Coturnix japonica: one gene and its partner. The protein of the gene in region 2 purifies or fractionates together with the protein of the main gene of each other region. This does not show direct contact. Links are inferred from orthologs where the notes say so. Each region holds a gene or a part of one and is shown on either strand. Other genes may lie near its edges. The genes, in order: IQGAP1 and S100B.

Region 1 (2,480 bases), on a different chromosome or scaffold from region 2:
CTTATGGGTCTGTTTTCAGAGTACCAATAAAAACAGTTGGTTAACCATAAAAACTTTTGCCTAATTATATTAGTAGTAGTGCTTTTTAGGAAGTGCTGTTGTTTGGTTTTTCTGCTTCTGTTGTGTAAGTTATTGGTAAATAGTAGGGAGTCAAAGATCTGATCTGAGCTACCGGTGCTGTGTAGATAAACTTGGTAATAGAAATATATCGGTGTTGGTTGAGCTGTCTATTCTGGTTCTCGCCACTCCTTCACATAGTATGAATTGTTTACTATATTTTGTTTGCTCTCTGGTTTTTTTTGTTTTTTTTTTTTTTAATCCTTTCTTTTCAGAGTCTCTAAGAAGCCTCGAGAGATGAAAGGCAAAAATAGTAAAAAGATTTCTCTAAAATACACCGCAGCTCGACTTCATGAGAAGGGAGTGCTTTTAGAAATTGAGGACCTGCAAGTTAACCAGTAAGTTAAAATAGCTAAATTAGTTAAAAGCTAAATAGCTTTTCCAGAGAAAGAGGGAAATGTTGCATACTGTTTTGGACTATTTAGGCTGGCACAGCGCTGTGAAGCCTCACAAACTGATCATGTGCTGTTCTCCTATTTGTGGTTAAATGGGAGCAGATCTCTGGTAGATAAGTTTAATGGCATTTAAAGATGACACCCTCTTTCTCCCTGCACTCCTCCCACAACCCCTCTCATGGCAGGATTCCTCCTCAAGTGAATTGCTACTGAGATTACTAACTCTCAAGGCTAGCATAAGCTAGTTCAGCTGCATTTTGCTGGTGTAGAACATTAGGCTACGTTGTTGTGGACTATGTTTTGTTATTCATTTTTCTACTGAATCTCATTCCAAATGAGGATATAGGATTAGAATTTAGGAATAAAATTAGAAGTTTATCTTTAGCTTTCATCTGGTGTGTGCTTTCCCTGTGTCATTAGGAACTGCATGTTCATGAACTGTGTTTTTTAATTTATTAAATTCACAGATTTAAAAATGTAATATTTGAAATCAGTCCAACAGAAGAAGTAGGAGATTTTGAGGTGAAAGCAAAATTCATGGGGGTACAGATGGAAACCTTTATGTTACATTATCAGGTAAGAACAATCCTGTTTAATAAGGACAGCATCCATCATGTGAGTTTCATGGGATGTGTATGAACAACAAATCTCTCTTCTGCTTGCCAGACTCTTTATCAGAATACTAATTATGTGTTTTCTGCCTGAACAGTGTGAAAATGGGGGAGCATCTTTAAACTAAAAGAGAGCAGATTTAGGTTAAATATAAGGAGGAAAATCTTTTCCTAGGCCAGGCTGAACAGGGTCCTGGGCAGCTGGAGCTGGTGGGGGTGGGACTGCCAGGTGTTGGAGTCCCTTCCAACATCCGCCCATACTATGATTCTTTGAGAAGCTATCTTGACAGCAGCAGATTTGTTGCAAACAAAACAGATGCAGTGCCAAGGGGGGAACTGAGGCTAATTTGTTTCTTTACTGATGAAAGCCTTAAGTAAGTCTGTGTCTTAGTGACACTTACATAAGTATGCATACACATGCGTGTGCTTTCGGCAACACTTTGCTATAGCAGAGGTCAGTAGTCTGTGGTATATGTCAGCTGGGCTTGGGTGTGATGACTTCAGCTACTTGTCACTGGTTTTCTTTCTGCGACACTGCACCTAGTTGTTTCTTTAGCTGTCTAGTTCTTGTGACTCCTCAGCCTTTACTTACATGAGTCTATCGTAACAGGCTTACAGGCAGGTTTTATCTAATGGTCCCCATTCTTCTTCCAACACCACTACTGTTATATCTGGCATCTCTGTCCACATACGAGTGTCTGCCAAAACTTGCCTCCCAGGTATTGTTAGATGTGGTAATTGTGGATGTCCTATGGGTACTGGAACAAACTGCATACAGAAGCACTCTGCACAGAGATACTTCTGTGTTGCAGTCCCCGACTGACTACTGGGAGGGATAGCTGCCTTACACATCCCGTACATCTGCTCTGGGAACTCCTGTAGTTCATTCCAGTGCTGATGTGTTGGAGCTGGCCACAGACTTCTTGGTTCATCTGGCTATTTGAGGTTGCTTGGTTCTCAAGCATGTGTGGTAAAACCATTATTAACAAACTGCCACAGCTCATCCAAGTACAGTGTTAGCAATGAGTTCTGTTAAAAAGTCTTGCATTGCCAGAATTTTTATGGAAAACAGTAAAAAAAGCTTTTTGATGTTCGTTCTGGTGTCAGGAGCAAGATTCAGATTTTGGAATGCATGCAGTGTTCATCGCAGTAGTACTACCCGAGTGCTTTCTTTGAGATGCGCTGTTCTAGAGAGGAGATTGTGTAAATGAATTAATTGCTGAGATGAGCAGTGCAGGGAGTCTTATGGCTTTGTCAGGTGCATCATCACAGAATCACAGAATGACCCAGGTTGGAAGGGACCTCAAGGATCATGAAGCTCCAACCCCCCTGCCTGTCAGGGCCACCAAACATCCAC
Region 2 (4,402 bases):
TGGCACCGTAAAGCCATCGGCGTGTTTATGAGGCAGCCGTGCCCGTCGGGTGTCAGGGTCCCGTATAAATACGGGGTGCCCGAGGCCGGCCCGGACAGCCCGTGTGCCGCGTGAGGACGCCGCCGGTCCCGCCGTGCTGTCCGTGCGGTCGGTTGTGCAGGTGCTGAGCGGCAGCGGCCGGCGGGGTGGGAGGCAGCAGGGCCGGCTCTTCGGTGGAGCCACGCGGCCCCGAGGCCGTGGGCCCGGCACGGGGCTCGGCTGTTCCTCGCCGCCCCGAGGGGCTGCGTGAGGCCGGGGTCGGGTTCTTTGCATCAGCGAGGGAAACCACGAGCCGGGGTGGTGCCGGGACTGCAGAGGGGAGGGCGGCTGCAGCTGGGACCCCCGGGAGGGTCGGGGTGGCCACGGGGACGTGTGTGGGACAGGCGGTGCCGTCCGTGCGGGGCCACACGTGGGCTGGAGCCCTGGGGCCACGGGGACGCCCGGCACGAGGGTCGCGCACGGCAGGCAGCGCTGACAGCGCGGTGCTTCCTTCCGTTGCAGCTCGGGGCCGTGAGAAGATGTCATCCCCACACCCAGGTGAGCGCCCGTGGGAAGGGCTCGGGCGGCCCTGGGGGTGCCCGCGCTGCCAGGCCGCTCCGTGCCCACGTCCCCTCCCGCTGCCCGCAAGCCCGGCCGCGCCCGGGTCCAGGAGCCTCCCACGGCGGCCGGGGCACTGCAGCTGCAGCAGAGCCGCGTGGCCGCCCCGCAGCCCTGACGCTCCCCTCTTCCTGCAGGGCCACACGGAGGGCCGCCGCCGCCACATCCCGGGCCTGGGCACCCACCTGCACCGCACGGCCCTCCCGGGCATCATCACCCGCCCGGCCATCATCCTCCCGGCCATCATCCGCCCGAGCATCACCCGCCCGAGCATCATCCTCCCGGCCATCACCCGCCCGGGCACCACCCGCCGGGCCCCCACCCCCACGGCCACCCCCACTAGGCGCTGAGCTCTGGCGGCAGCCGCCCCCGGCCCGGCTCCTTCTGCGTCCATCGGCCGCCCCATCGCCGCGCTGCCGCCGGGCTCTCCCTCCGGCCACGCGCGGCGGCAGCTGTGCCGGCAGCAGAAGCTCGGGCTCGGGTTGAGGTGCGCAATAAAAGTCCGCTCGGTGCCTCTGCGCTCGCTGTGTTTGGCGGACGGTCTCCGCGCCGCGTGCCGGCCCCACGTGCAGCAGATGAGCGCAGCGCAGGGCAGCGCCGCCGCTCGTCCGGGCGCGGGGAGACGGACGGAGCGACGGGGTTCGGGCTCCCGGCACACGGCCCGCCCCTCCGCGAGGCTCTGCGAGGGCACGGTCCGCCACGGGCGCCGTCGCCTCGGTTGTAGGCGCGGAACGGAGCGGCCGCGCAGCCCCTGCGCCGTGCGGAGCCCCCGGGCCGCGGGTGGGAGCGTCGCGCAGCTCCGCTGCTGCTCGTCGGCTCCGTGCGGGCAGAGCTGCGGCACGGCCACGCTCCGGCACCGCGCTGCTCAGTGCACGGGGTCTGCTTCCCCGCACTATTCACAACGGCCGCCTCCTGTAGCAGCCCCCACGGCCGCCGTGGGTCGGCTGGGCGCCGATGCGCGTCCGTGTGCCACTGCGCACAGCCCAGCCCGCTGTCGGGACGGCCCGGCCTCCCTTTGCCATTGGTCCCGGGCGCTGCGGCACGGGTGAAGCTCCACGCCCACGGGCATAAGAAGGCGGTCAGCCGCTGGGATGCAGCCGCAGCGTTGAGCATCGCCAAGGGAGGTGAGAAGGAATGGGGCTCTGGGTGGGGTGGGGGAGCAGCCGACGGGCGGGCTGGTTGGCTGGTTCGCCATGGTTCTCTGCCATTCCGGAGCTGAGATCTTTGCTCACCGCAGAGGCCGGTGCAGAGCTGAGTTAACCAATGGCAGACATTTACCCCTGCGGTATGTATTTAACGAGGACCGGACACCAAACCGTTGCGTTTTTTAAGCCCAGTGTAAATGCATTGAGCAGCTTCTGGGAAGGTGGATTTGCATCCCTCCCTGTCGGGTTATTTTTGTACGGATATCTGTGGAATCTGCAGGAATAGCTGAAATTATTGGTAGTCCTGCACCAGGTCAGATGTGCGAGGAAGGCAGGCAGAGGAGTTGCCCTTGTTTCTTTCTATTTGCAACTATCAAAATCGAATCCTCATGCCCTCCCGACTGTTCATTTGGAAGTGGGCCTGCAGGCAAGAAGGGCAGAGGTGTGGGCACCTGAAATAAAAGGGAAAGCAAAGCCTTTCTGAAATGCATCCCCCCACCCTTACCTGCTCCTGTCCCCAACTTGCCAAGGAAAGCAACGGGTTGACCAGTAGGAATAAAAGAGTTGGGTGAGGTGACAATATGCGTGATTAAACGGGTGCTCCATCAGCTGAGAATGTGGCACAAGGACACTGTCCAGTTCCTGCCGCACTTTGATAGTGGTTTGAGCCATCTGAAAGTGGGCTTCCTTCCCATGGGGAGCGCCAGGCAGCAGCACTGAGATGCAGCCCAGCCACGGTGAGACCTGGGGGAGGTCCAGCAGATCCAAGGCAGCTCTGAGCCAGAGCTGGAGCCCCATCCTGGGCACAGACCAGTGCTCTGTGCTTCCCGCAGCCCATTTCTGCTATGCAGGTTTCCCAAAGGGGACTGGCAACACAAGCTTAGCAAATGACCCTGTCCCAGCTGACAGCCAGCTCAGCACATATGGGAAACGCAAGAAGCCTCCAGGATTTTGCCACCCATCTCCTTCCAGTTTTCTCTCCCACGCTCTGCACACTCCTGTTGGTTCCAGGGAATGCACCTGTCCCACTGCCACCACTCCCTGTGTTGCAGCTCACCTGGAGCACTCAGAGCCAAGGCCCCTTAGAACCACAGATCCTGGGATCTTCTCTGAAGTGAGAGCCACTGGCAGAGCTTGCCTGTGCTGCTGTTGGGTGGGGGGTTGCAGCAGGGCTCTGATGCATCACTGCAGCCTAACCCTGCTGATGTGCCCGTCGCCTCCCTCTGATCTCAGGACTGTGCTGTGACCATGTCTGAGCTGGAGAAGGCCATGATTGCCATCATTGATGCTTTCCACCAGTACTCCGGGAAGGAAGGAGACAAGCATAAGCTGAAGAAATCGGAGCTGAAGGAGCTCATTAACAATGAATTAACTCATTTCCTTGGTGTGAGTATTGCCCTCTACATAGCACAGCTGGGCTCAGGCTCCAGCTCCCCAGGAGCAGGTGGTGGCAGGACAAAGCCTGTGTCAGGGCTGGAGGCTTGGGCTGGACACTAGGGAGATTTCATTCCCTGGGACGGTTTATCACCCTGTTTATCACCCTTACCCTGTGGGGCTCAAGGTGCCCTGGTAGGGCTGCTGTTAAGCAGATGCTACTACATCCATTTCTGCCCTTTCAGGAGATCAAAGACCAGGAGACCGTGGACAAAGTCATGGAGGCACTGGACAGTGATGGGGATGCAGAGTGTGACTTCCAGGAGTTCGTGGCCTTCATTGCCATGGTTACCTCTGCTTGCCATGAGTTCTTTGAGCACGAGTGAGCTGGTGAGAAGCAGCTGAGCAGCTCCCACTCACACTGGAGAGATGCAGAGCGGTACCACTCCTCTTGGGAGAAGACTGGATGCACCTGGGGGCTCCATGAAGTTAAGCTTGCGCTACTTAAGCAGCTTATTAAACTCTGCAGCTTTGTGAGCAGAAATGCCCATGCATCTTGGGAAAGCCTCTTAGACAGCGCCCACCTGGGATGGCATGTGTTCGAATGCCACATCTCAGGCTCACTCCCTGCTGCTGTGTGCAAGGGACAGGCAGCGGGCTGGAAGCAGGTGGCCGCTGCAATCCTTTAGGTTGCTGGCAAAGGGAAAAGGAAAATTCAAGGGGTGAGGCAGGGCGTGATGCAGAGAGGCTGGTTATAGAGGCCTGGCTCTGAGCCCATTGGCCTACACAGAAAGACTCTGTGATCTCTGTGGGCTCTGACTGCCCCACGCATGCTACTAACCCTGGAGCAGAGCCCATGCAGTCCTTGGCAACTTGAGAAACTCCTGGCTTGAAAGGCAAAGCATAACCATGTAACAGCCCAGGCTTTTCTCCTGCCTATGAATCCTCCTGCTTATAGCTGTCCGCAGAACTGGAAATGAAAGCATAGGAGGCTCCTGGGCTGGGCCTGAGGTGCACATTGGCAAGCTCTCAAGGCTCAGCCTGAAGGAAGGGTGAAATCCATATGTTATCAGCTGCAGCTCCAGAGTATGTGGAAACAATGAGAATAAAATGTTGGTCTTTGGGCCATAATGCGGTTCTGGTGAAAAATGAATCCTTTTGTCTCCGGGCTTTGTACACTTTGTGGCTGCTTTGAGTTGTCAAAGGTTGAGGATACAGCCTCGGAGCACCGCTGAAGTTCACATAGG

Evidence for each region.
Region 1: the proteins of S100B (region 2) and IQGAP1 purify together in Homo sapiens (co-immunoprecipitation; 3 studies listed by BioGRID and IntAct, with this or other methods). This does not show direct contact. The link is inferred for Coturnix japonica from reciprocal best matches to the Homo sapiens genes S100B and IQGAP1.

What each region holds. Positions count from the first base shown.
Region 1 is NC_029525.1:18,470,731-18,473,210, forward strand, and holds part of IQGAP1 (ras GTPase-activating-like protein IQGAP1), read left to right. Parts: intron 1-332; coding exon 333-455; intron 456-979; coding exon 980-1,088; intron 1,089-2,480. UniProt on the Homo sapiens protein: Plays a crucial role in regulating the dynamics and assembly of the actin cytoskeleton.
Region 2 is NC_029522.1:2,450,300-2,454,701, reverse strand, and holds S100B (protein S100-B), read left to right. Parts: upstream 1-1,335; 5' UTR 1,336-1,760; intron 1,761-3,014; 5' UTR 3,015-3,029; coding exon 3,030-3,167; intron 3,168-3,400; coding exon 3,401-3,541; 3' UTR 3,542-4,293; downstream 4,294-4,402. UniProt on the Homo sapiens protein: Small zinc- and- and calcium-binding protein that is highly expressed in astrocytes and constitutes one of the most abundant soluble proteins in brain.